3 linked regions of the Neurospora crassa OR74A genome follow. The main gene of each other region encodes a partner of the protein of the gene in region 2 in a complex. Links are inferred from orthologs where the notes say so. Each region holds a gene or a part of one and is shown on either strand. Other genes may lie near its edges. The genes, in order: NCU03558, des and NCU09119.

Region 1 (3,598 bases), on a different chromosome or scaffold from region 2:
CCCCCGGTTTCAGCCTCCTCGCCAAGGCCACCGCCGCCAACCCCGGCGCCGAGGCCTTTGCTCACAACTACGCCTACTCCGATGCTGGTCTCCTCGCCATCCAGATCACCGGCAAGGGTGCCGCCGTCGGCAAGGTCGCCGTCGAGGCCGTCAAGGGTCTCAAGGCCATCGCTGCCGGTGGTGTCTCCAAGGAGGACCTCACCAAGGCTATCGCCAAGGCCAAGTTCAACCTCCTCTCCGCCAGCGAGGTTTCCGGCACTGGCCTCGTCCACGCCGGTGCCAACCTTCTTGCCGGTGGCAAGCCCATCCAGGTTGCCGAGACCCTCAAGGCTCTTGAGGGCGTTACCGCTGAGAAGCTCCAGGCTGTATGTGTGAACCTACAAGAAGTTGGAAAAGAAAAAAAAGATATGCTAACAAACGTTCAACAGGCTGCCAAGAAGCTCCTTGAGGGCAAGGCTTCCGTTTCCGCCGTCGGTGACCTCCACGTCCTTCCCTATGCTGAGGATCTCGGTCTCAAGGTATAGACGTAGACTAGACTTTGGGGGCGCAGAGCGGGTTGTGCAATTCGTAGTTAATTGAAAGAGGAAATACCTAAACGCAGCGAAACGAACCGATTGAAACTGGAAAGGCGTGGATACTTTTTTGAGAAGACGCCAGGGTTGGGAGACAAAAACCAAAACCGTGTACCAACAGCAAAACCGGCCGGGATGAAGTGTGTTGTAGACCTTTCTCGTTGTGAAGCGGGAGATGAAGAACGAACGGCTGGGGACCGACGACTTTTTGTGCATATACAAACCTCTAGACTTTTTATCATTCCTCGCCACTACTTCTCTAGCAGAGCTATAAAACACAAAATGCAGCAGGCATTATTTCTTTTGTTGACATTGGATACCTGTTACAAACGAGGGTGAAATGTCAAGCTTAAGGAATGAGATGAGATATGCTAGTGAGTTTTACGGCGAAGATAAGTAGTTTGGAAGAGACGAGAATGCTTGAGCTCATTTGAAAGTTTACAAATGCGATAGCACATTCAATGTCAAACATCAATCACACAGGTCCATTCAAAATAGGTATCAGGGGTCGATGTTTACTTTTGACCTTGTTAGGTAAGCTGCCGAGCTTGCCCTGGCGGCGGCGGCGGCGGGCGCCCGTAGCTCCTGTTCCGTCACTGCATGGCATGGAAGGAAGCTTGGGGCGGCGTCTCAGTTGGGGGAGTTGGGGTCACAACTGAAGACAAAAAAAAAGGAGGGGCATCACGTGACACACGACGGAGCTTCGGGCAGCGGAGCTTCTCGGGTTCCCTGGTGTTGGATGTGGATTGGGTGGATGGGTGTGCCAGGGTGGGGACCAGTTTTGTCGAGTCGAGAGTGAACCGAATCGCGCGCAAGCAAGTACCGCAGCAAGCAGCAAGCAGCAGACAGCAACAAGTCTTTCTTCGTTTCACCGTCAAGACAACACCCACCCACCCACCCCACAATCTTCGCCCAACATGGTGTTCGCTTGGAAGGCCGCTGGCATTACGTGAGTATCTTGTCTTTTCGTTTTTATTGGCTTGGGGACGGGGAGAGGCAGGGCAAATAGGGCAGTTTATCGGAAGTGTGGGAGGAAGAAGACCAGAATTGCCGCGACAGAGAGAGAGAGAGAGAGAGAGAGAGAAGGATGGAGGAGGATGATGGGACCAACGAGCCTGCCTACCCACGAACGAGCTCGACAACAGAGATTACAACGATTACATGCGCCGAAATCTGGGGTTGTAATTGCCCCGCGACTTGAAATACGATCGATGGACGACAATCTACGGGCGACCTACAACAGGTGGAATGAGAAAGACTGGGAGAGAAAGAGGACGGAGATAACCCCAGGTCATGGACGACAGCAGGACCCAGGGAAACATTGAGGGAGATCAAGGAGAGAGATAATACACGACACACTTGGTCGAGAAAAGCGCCGAATGTCCATGACATGGAGAGACGGGCCCGAATGCGACAAAAACACCGGAAAGCGAGCAAGCGATGCGTAACGACGACTTCGAAGCAACAAAGCAGGCCAGCATTCATCCAGAGCTACGACAGACATACGCACTACAATCACCAGATAGCGCACGGAATGAGCAACACACGAGGATCAGGAGCAGGGCAAGAGGGGGGAACATAGCAGAGGGGACCGGACGAGAGAAAACAGTACTACAAGACAACGAAGGCTAACACGGTTCACGAAAATTACAGCTACAACCGCTACCTCGCGGTCGCCTCTCGTGCGCTCCGTCGCTCCCTCAAGGAGGATAAGAGAATCATTGCTGAGCGTCGTGGCGAGGCTGCCGAGGTCAAGTTCGCTAAGTGGTCGGTACGTAATAATCTTTTTGTCTTTTGGCTATCGGGGAACAATCAGACAAGAGAAGAAGAAAGAGGAGGGGGGAATGTCACGAGTGAGGAGACGGAGAGAAAAAAAATCATGAAGATGGATGGACACCGGCACTGGACGTAAACAACACGAAAGAGAAGCTAATCACACCCCCTCTCTTTCCAAACTACAGAACGGCAAGCCTGGCGAGACCGTCAACCTCAGCTCCGCCAACGCTGCCGCCGCCGCCGAGAACGCCACCTCCGTTCCCTCTTCTTAAGCGGATCGACACACACACAACCAACACACCGTGACGATGTGCTAGGAATGGTGGTGTAGTGGTGGACCGGGAGATGAGAGAAATAGGGTCATATCGCGAATCGCTCCCGCATGGCACTCAAATCCTCACCTCCTGCCGAGTGTCACTAAGCCCGAAGACGTATGACCTGTATCATCAAACATATTGGGGGAGCGAGGAAGAGAAACTCAATAGACGGTTTATTGGCATTTACTTTGTGAACTGGGTGTGACTGGTTGGAAGTGAATCTGAGTGACATATAAATGAACTTGAAAAAGTGTTAGAATGGGTGTGCCGCTCATTGACAGAGGTAACAGGTCCGAGAGTCGTAGATGTTGCACAAGGGATTCCTTTCCCTGAAGTACAGCGTCTCATTGCCTCTTTGGGCTTCATTGCATGATATGCAAAATACGGTAGGCGCTTATTCGACGAAGCCAGTTGAGTTGAAAGATTGGGTTCTTAAAAATAGAAAATGTGATCAATAAAGAATTGTTTGTCATTTCTTAGCAGCCTCATCAACCCACTGACAAGCGGAAAGTGAGGAAGCTTACCTCTAGGTAGGTATGTACCCGAAAGGGGAGTCGGTCGTTAACATTCGGGCTCACGGACGCTACCAGCAAAGAAGTCCGGGCAGCCAGGCACAGACTCAGGTTCCTCCCCTAACAGAGCCAAACATCACCCGACTTCCTCCACTCACCTAACCACAAACAAACAAATGTTCATCTCAAGTGCATACTAATTACCTTTCCTACGGGAGCCCATCCATAGCTCTTGTAAAAAGAAAAAAAAAAAAAACACAAGACCATGATCCCAGACGACCACCAAGCTGCAGTTCAAAGAGGTTTGTTTCTTTCGCTACAATTCCCAAAATTTCAAATATTTCAACAACGGCACCACCACTACCACACCACGTTGGGCAACAACCCCGCTATAACATTGTAATGACATCTCACTGACCTC
Region 2 (3,047 bases):
CAGTCAGTAACTTGAAAGGCCCATTTGTTGAACGACACCATACGCTACCCATCTGGTGACGCCTCGCTGTCGGGTCCATTGAAAAGATTTTGATATTGCGGCCGTGAGACAAACCGGCCCTTTTGCGCGCTTGGCTGTGATGGTCTTTCTCGCAAGGCGATAAAGTTGGCAGAAGCAGCTTTTTGGCGATGAAGTGGTTGGCAAAGGCATGGGAGGATACGTTAAGCGTGCGGCTCGCATGGTCTGACTTGTGCATAATACTCGCATTCATCCATGCCAAAAGCAGGAAAGGTCGGTCTTGTCGGGGGAAGATCGACCTTGTAGTGTTGCGTATTCCGGGTCGGATTTGGTGATTCCTGGTCATTTTGACTCTCTGTGGTTGGACCCGACCCCTCCTCATTAGCCCTATGGACCCTTGGTGCAATATGTACATAGCTGCATGAGAATCTCGGTCGTTGTCCGATGGCATACAATTGCAATGGCGTGGATGGATACCAATGAGGGATTCAGAGATAGGCCACGGGGTCCAATGCGCACTCATCATGGGAATCAGCGCTGTGGTTTGCGACATGATGGTCTTTGTTTCGGTCCATCCAACATGGGAGCATGGGCAAGCTGGAGGTGTTCGGTGACAGGCGTCATGAAGCCATCAGGAATCGGAGACCGGGCAGCCAAAGCACCATGAGCCCAAGGTTTCAAGCGCTGACACACCTGGGCCGCCTAAACGATTTATCAGCCGGAAAACTGGAATGAAGTTTAACTTGCCGGTGTTGACGTGCTGAGGTCTTTTTCAGGTCGCACCGCATACAATATGCGCTTGAGGTTATTTCATGATCTGCAAATCCTGGATGGAAATCTAGAACAATGCGAAGATGCAAAGACGACTGGCTGTGAAAGTGAGAAACGACATGGTAGTTTTGAGATGTGCCGTCTCGGCAATGCCCCTGGTGTTGGGTAAATTTTCATGATGTTATTGACCAGGTGAGCCAAAGGGAAGGCCAGCCGATGCAACTGAAGTTCGCGAAACGGAGCCATTGGGAGCTTCACTGCAGTTTGATCGGAATAGGTGAGTGGCTCGTGCTCCGCTGCTGTCGAACGTGGCATGGGGCGTACAGGTATGTCGAACAACGTGGATTTGCTTGGACGAAAGCTTCGATAGAGCGTTAGAAATTAGCTGCATAATCTCTTGGCGCGTAGAATGTGAAGTCGGTGTGTCATCTCCTTTTTGTTGCATCATCGAAAAACGGGAGTTTCCGCAGAGCCAAGAACCATCCCGACCGTGCCCGACGTCAAGGTTCTTTTGCCAAGCTTTTGCCTGGTGCTTCGCTGGAAGACAAGCTCCCTCCAGTGCTCGAGGTGCTGAGGTGCTGAAGCTCTCAGAAGACGGGCCCCGCACAAACATTATTCCTTGTCCCCGGATCCCGGCTAAGCGAATTTGAGGTCGGTACTCCATACTAGCATTGGGCCATTGGCAAAACTGCTTGACGATACGGAACGACCGATCGCGACAACGACGACGGCCTGCCCTCAATTGAGACCGCATATCACCATGAACTCCCTCCGTATTGCTCGTGCCGCCCTCCGGGTGCGCCCCACTGCCGTCCGCGCCCCCCTCCAGCGCAGAGGGTATGCTGAGGCCGTCGCCGACAAGGCATGTTGATGTTCAGAGTCCCAAGCTTCCGTATCGTTATCATAGCTCTAACTGTTGTCGCATGTCATGTAGATCAAGCTCAGCCTTTCCCTCCCTCACCAGGTACGACTGCGACCCGGTCCGATCGATGCTCGACTACGCCCATCCGATGCCACCTTGACATGTGCCCGCGTATGCCATCATGGTCCAGCACCATGGCTGACGAGTTATTGCCGCATATAGGCCATCTACAAGTCCCAGGATGTCGTCCAGGTCAACATCCCCGCCGTCTCCGGTGAGATGGGTGTCCTTGCCAACCACGTTCCCTCCATCGAGCAGCTGAAGCCCGGCCTTGTCGAGGTCATCGAGGAGAGCGGCAGCAACAAGCAGTACTTCCGTACGTCATCGTCCTCCACAACCGCAACCGCAACCGCAGCGGCAGAAGCAACAACAAATGTCGCCATATCAAAGTACCCTTTGGGCTTACACGAGATGTTCTAGTTTCCGGTGGTTTTGCCGTTGTCCAGCCCGGCTCTAAGCTCAGCATCAACGCCGTTGAGGGTTACGCCCTTGAGGACTTCAGCGCCGAGGCCGTCCGCGCCCAGATCGCCGAGGCCCAGAAGATTGTCAGCGGTGGTGGTAGCCAGCAAGACATTGCTGAGGCCCAGGTTGAGCTCGAGGTAAGTTGGAGAGGCGGGTAGTTGGGCGCGATTCCACCGCATCTGTGGTTACTAACGATATGACGTAGGTCCTCGAGTCCCTCCAGGCTGTTCTCAAATAGATGTATCACCATCCTTAATCCTACCCCCATTGTAGCATACACCATGATTTCCTATCTTAGTTAAGGAGACAACACCTGAACATGCTGCTTTGAGTGTGCACAGATCTTGCCTATTGAGGGCCACTAGTGATCGGCCATCGTGACTGCCGCATCTGACAACAGCCGTTTTATTCACTTATGTTTAGGGAGGCACGAGCTTCGCTTACATGAGCAACTTCCGTTTGGCGAAGGGTGAGTATACCCTTACATCTTACGGACTGATCACCGTCAAAAAACCTCCAACTTCACAACCTTGGCTCAATAATCGCGTTACGCCGAATATCATCACCCTTTCCCTACGTAACCTACGATGGACATTCTTAATCAACCTCTTACCCGACCTGGCATTTATCCTGTCGCGCTCAGCAACTGAAAGCGACACAATAGGAGACGCGCATTCCTACTCTGCGCTACCCCCAGCTCGCACATCAACATTATAAAGCTTGTCTCGTTACCACCACTCCGGCTTTATCATAGGCTCAAGACAGGGTTTCCGGAGCGGTTGATACATACTATGCAACGCGATCGGGAAGGCGAACATGTATGTTTGCTCGCAACTAATCCTCCTCCTTTAAGCTAGAATTTGCTGCACCCTGA
Region 3 (4,229 bases), on a different chromosome or scaffold from region 2:
ATGCAAACGTCGCCTATACTAAAACCAGGCGGGGAAGTGAGTATGTACAAAACTCCACAGCAAATGAAGCAGCCAGTCCTTTTAACCGTTGAACATCGGAAAAGGATTAGAAACTTCCATCCCATCTCCCATGCTCTTCACACATTCAGTCCCATCAAGCGCCCCAAACAAGCGACGGCGGCGCGGAATGGAGGCGGGATAAGACAGGATGATATTGGAAACACAAGCAACTCCTCACAAATATACGAACCCATCGAGATGGAAGCCCCACCCCTTATCACCCGTCTGCGGCTTTTATTTCGAATGAAAGTTGGCCGGCGGCGTGGTCAGGTTGCTTACTGAGAATTTACCGACGAATTTGTACTGAGCGACATTGTCATGCATCTGACAAGCGCTCATCCCAGCTGAGATTTGTTGAGTGGACTGAAACTACAGCGGCTATGTCTTCAAGGCTTACTGACGACGGAGTGGGCAGGTGTGTGAAAGAAGTGGTACAATTTATGGACTGAAGGCGTTGGTACAATAAAGGAAAGGCTAGCTCATTTGATTGGTACAAAGGAAGGCATTTGGCACGCAGCTTTTTGGACCAGGACTAGACATACCACACACCACGCATACTCGTACACTTTCGAACGGCATGGTTGAATGTCAACTGAGAGTGCAGACAGGGATGATGGATTTCGGCTTTGGACCCTTTTCTTTTACTCAGGTCCCCTCTCCTTTTCCCTCAATACATCTTCGTCTTCTATTAATAGACTGCGGTTGTTTAGGCTGCTGTTTACATATCGGCCGAAGCGGTGGCACCAGTGATAATTTCGACCAACTCGCCGGTAATGACGGCCTGGCGAGTACGGTTGAAGAGAATCTGGTACTTGCTGATCATCTCGCCGGCGTTCTTGGAAGCGTTCTGGATAAGGGGTAAGAGAATTCACGTCAGCAGCCTGTCCGCTGTCGACTTCAAAGAGGTGGCATGGGACGGGAGGAGAACTCACGTCCATGGCGTTGCGACGGGCAGAAATCTCGCAGGCGTGACCCTCGCAGAGAGCCCAGTAGAGGGAGTTGGCGAGGGCGTACTCGCGGAGGTTGCCAAGGACCTCTTCATCAACCTCAAAAGCGGAAAAGTTGGCTGGATATAACTTAGTCAGCTGACTGAACCTCGACGGGCATCACGGTGGCCGACAGGACGTACGGGAAGCGAGGATGGCATCCTCAGAAAATGCCTCAATGACGGTGGGCTCGTAGCTGGTGGCGTTGATGAACTTGTTGTAGACAATCTCAACGGAAGAGTAGTCGCCCTTGAGCTGGGTGATCTGGTCGGCGATGGCAGAGGCCTCGACGAAGGTGGGGATGTCCTTGCCAACACCGGAGAAGTTGAGGACGATGTCCTTGGCGTTGGTACGGGAGAGCTGGGCCTTGGCCTTCTCGCCGATGATGACGATGTCGAACTCAGGCTCGGTGGCGGCGCGGCGACGGATGAAGCGCGCAAGACCGGAGTGGACACCACCGCAGAGACCCTTGTCGGAGGAGCAGACGACGACGAGCTTCTTCTTGCCCTCAGCCTCGAGAGGCTTAGTCTCGGCCGAGGTGAAGACCTCGTTGCTGGTGGCACCGTAGCCGCGGGACTCGGTCATGGCACGCTGGGCGCGGTTGAGCTTGGTCGAGGCAACAATCTTCATGGTGTTGGTGATCTTCTCGATGTTGCGAATCGACTTGAGGCGGGTCTCGATTTCACGGAGAGTCGCGAAGGTGGCCGCGCCGGGAGCAGCCGCTCTGTTGTCATGACCTTCAATCAGTCTGCATGTTCTGTCTCAAGGTTCGATGTGTCGGGGCTATCGCGTGTCCGTTCTCGTTCTCGTGTGCGTATGGGTGTGTGTGTGTCCAACTCCTCTTCTCTCTCTCTCTCCCCACCCGACCCGTTCCCTGCTTGCTTGCTTGTGCTGCCCCTCCATATATCGGACGTCATGTATCGGGGACCTGGCGGCGCAATCGCATTCGTTTCCAAGTCGCACAGAGAGCTGAGAGCCAGACGAAGACCCCGAGAAGCTGTAGTCGGTTGGTGCACGGTGGTTGACGAACAGACGGAGGCGAGATGGCGAGATGTTGGACGGAGACGGACGGAGCACTCTTACGGAAGAAGGACATGGTATTTTTTTTTTCTTGGGAGAGCACCTACCGGGACGAGACGGCGGCTCCAGCTCTCAGGGCCGGGCGGGCAGCTCTGGACAGCATGTTGAGATGGATATTTGACGAGGGAGAGACCTGCTGGAGAGGAGTGGCCCGGGGTTGACCACTTGATATTCAGGCGGCAATTGATCGTGGGGGAGTGATCAATAGGAATAGGACGCAATTGGCGTGAGAGGTTTGCTGAGGTCGGTTCCACACTTTCCGCTCTCTGCTCACTTTCCGGCCGTGCTTTCTTCGTGAGGTGTGGCTCGCCATCGTGCCGCTGTCCAGTCCCCAGTCGGGCGCCTTCGCCTTTTTCCCGGCTAGAGCCTGGCAATGGCTGAGGACTGCTGCCCGGCCATTGGCTTGGTTAGTTACTGGCTGCCTGCCAGCTGCGGTGTGCTCCCCACGCAGCACCTCACTTACCTATCTAGTGTACCTATGGCCCGGATGTACACAGGTGGAAGGCCATCTTGCTGCCGAGTTCTGCCAAACTTTCTTGCCAGCCATGACAGCTGCCAGAGCTACCATGTGGGTGGGGCACCCGGTCTGGCCCGCACCTGCGATCCTGCACCGCGGCATCAGTCTACTCACTTGCAGATGAACAAGCGGTACAACTCACTTGTGGAATTGAAGGCTGTCTTGAAAAGCTCTTTTTGTTCCGTTCCTGTTGGGCACCGTGCCATCCACCTCACTGAAACCTGCCTACTTAGCTTATCTCAGAATCAGACCTCTTTTTTGGGCATGGGCGGCCTGCGGCCGGGAAGGGGGCTTGCGGCCCGTGCGCTGCGCGTACAATGGAAAGGGCGCTGCGCGCCCGGAAATTCAAATTGAATCTTTCTAATCTTTCAGACTTGTGGTCCGTGCATCTATTCTTTTAGTATATTTAACGGTATTGATTGAGAACGCCTAAAAAAGAGGTTTGAGTTCCCAATCAGATAGGAATTGTAGAGGCTGGGATAAAATCACTAACTTCCCAGTAAGACTCTATGATAATAAAATAAAAAAGGAAGTTCTGGAACTTTAATGGGTATAGGGAGAATCTACTCGACGAGACGAATCTAATAGTATAATTAGTTTTTTAATGCGTCCAATAAAAGTGCCAAGTTTTTGTATAAACGTAAAAAAATTAGGTGTTGACACATGTCAGTTGGCCGACTAGCTATTTACTACAATACTATATTTTATCTCAACTTTTTGAAATTTTGTAGGTATGATTATTACAATTGTCTTATCCTCCGAGTACAATTCGCTTATCTTTGCGATGTATTATTTTTTTTCTTCGAATTTTTATTCTATTAGTACTACATTCAATGCTATAGATTCCGATGTTAATGCCCCTATTAATCCCTAATGCGTACTAAGAGTTATGAAAAATATTATTAGTAATAATAGAGAGCCTCGAGAAGGCTAGGTTTAAGTGGTAGTGCGGCTAGTATGCGAATAAAAGGATACGATATTAGTTGTGGTAATGGGCTACGGAAAAAGTATTGTCCTATATGTATTTTTAGCTTTGTATAATAAAATTACGATATAAATCGTACTGTTTACTAAGCTTAGGGAAAGTTAACGTAATGATATTGCTACTAAGGTGCTAGATTTAAAGCTAGTATGGGTAGATAAAGACGTAATTCTAAGAGTAAGCTTTTTGCCCCCCTTTTATACTGGAATCCTACTAATTCGTATATAGAACCGGGATATTTAGGACTAGATTCAATGCGGCGATTATACCCATGTTTTACTGAGCCTAGAGCTTGCGATAAGTGTAAAATTTAAGGCTATATTGCGGTCCCTAGAATTCTATAAACGGATCGGTCTTTTTGCTATTGATGAGTTATATTGCGTATCAAAATAGCGCGAATTTCGATAGGAGTTTCAATATCTATATACCTTACGGCTATTATTGCCTAAGAACATTCCGTGGTTTGGCTGTACAATTATGTTAGTTAGAATCTATTAAGACTTTATTATTAAAAAGGCTGGTTTTGATGCTAGAAACCTCGAAATTATTAGAATTTCCGTAGATAGACTAGAAATCTCTATTATTATTTAGCCTCTTCTTCGGA

The links.
Region 1: the proteins of des (region 2) and NCU03558 are in contact, whole or in part, in a crystal structure (PDB 3ZIA), measured with the Saccharomyces cerevisiae proteins. The link is inferred for Neurospora crassa OR74A from reciprocal best matches to the Saccharomyces cerevisiae genes ATP16 and ATP15. Residues at the interface, in NP_010280.1 of Saccharomyces cerevisiae: His40, Gln73, Leu74, Leu75, Pro76, Phe91, Ile92, Ser93, Gly94, Gly95, Phe96, Ile110, Glu111, Phe113, Glu116, Ser117, Phe118, Ser119, Asn122, Ile123, Leu126, Arg140, Ala143, Glu144, Ala146, Ile147, Gln148, Glu150, Val151, Leu152; in NP_015052.1 of Saccharomyces cerevisiae: Ser2, Trp4, Ala7, Gly8, Ile9, Ser10, Tyr11, Tyr14, Leu15, Val17, Ala18, Ala19, Ala21, Ile22, Arg23, Ser24, Ser25, Leu26, Lys27, Thr28, Leu30, Gln31, Arg38.
Region 3: the proteins of des (region 2) and NCU09119 are in contact, whole or in part, in a crystal structure (PDB 3FKS), measured with the Saccharomyces cerevisiae proteins. The link is inferred for Neurospora crassa OR74A from reciprocal best matches to the Saccharomyces cerevisiae genes ATP16 and ATP3. Residues at the interface, in NP_010280.1 of Saccharomyces cerevisiae: Gln35, Ala37, Leu38, Pro39, His40, Glu41, Thr42, Ser45, Lys57, Val68, Pro69, Thr70, Val71, Gln73, Gly94, Gly95, Phe96, Thr98, Val99, Gln100, Pro101, Asp102, Gln104, Cys106, Thr108, Ala109, Ile110; in NP_009595.1 of Saccharomyces cerevisiae: Ala70, Ser73, Ala74, Lys76, Met77, Glu79, Ala80, Glu81, Leu83, Phe84, Asn87, Phe173, Lys229, Phe230, Glu231, Ile232, Ala236, Asn237, Val238, Asp241, Leu242, Tyr245, Leu252.

Annotation. Positions count from the first base shown.
Region 1 is NC_026502.1:232,609-236,206, forward strand, and holds NCU03558 (hypothetical protein), read left to right. Parts: upstream 1-1,347; 5' UTR 1,348-1,489; coding exon 1,490-1,521; intron 1,522-2,225; coding exon 2,226-2,343; intron 2,344-2,533; coding exon 2,534-2,620; 3' UTR 2,621-2,967; downstream 2,968-3,598. Other genes in the region: NCU03559 (ubiquinol-cytochrome c reductase complex core protein 2), read left to right, coding at 1-365, 429-524; NCU03557 (amino-acid N-acetyltransferase subunit Mak10), read left to right, coding at 3,443-3,479. UniProt on the Saccharomyces cerevisiae protein: Mitochondrial membrane ATP synthase (F(1)F(0) ATP synthase or Complex V) produces ATP from ADP in the presence of a proton gradient across the membrane which is generated by electron transport complexes of the respiratory chain.
Region 2 is NC_026503.1:3,663,709-3,666,755, forward strand, and holds des (ATP synthase subunit delta), read left to right. Parts: upstream 1-1,429; 5' UTR 1,430-1,549; coding exon 1,550-1,651; intron 1,652-1,723; coding exon 1,724-1,753; intron 1,754-1,873; coding exon 1,874-2,027; intron 2,028-2,131; coding exon 2,132-2,310; intron 2,311-2,378; coding exon 2,379-2,411; 3' UTR 2,412-2,510; downstream 2,511-3,047. Other genes in the region: NCU00384 (hypothetical protein), read right to left, coding at 44-364; NCU16680 (hypothetical protein), read left to right, coding at 2,965-2,991. UniProt on the Saccharomyces cerevisiae protein: Mitochondrial membrane ATP synthase (F(1)F(0) ATP synthase or Complex V) produces ATP from ADP in the presence of a proton gradient across the membrane which is generated by electron transport complexes of the respiratory chain.
Region 3 is NC_026501.1:5,400,769-5,404,997, reverse strand, and holds NCU09119 (ATP synthase subunit gamma), read right to left. Parts: upstream 2,815-4,229; 5' UTR 2,590-2,814; intron 2,511-2,589; 5' UTR 2,230-2,510; coding exon 2,174-2,229; intron 1,771-2,173; coding exon 1,190-1,770; intron 1,127-1,189; coding exon 993-1,126; intron 908-992; coding exon 779-907; 3' UTR 477-778; downstream 1-476. UniProt on the Saccharomyces cerevisiae protein: Mitochondrial membrane ATP synthase (F(1)F(0) ATP synthase or Complex V) produces ATP from ADP in the presence of a proton gradient across the membrane which is generated by electron transport complexes of the respiratory chain.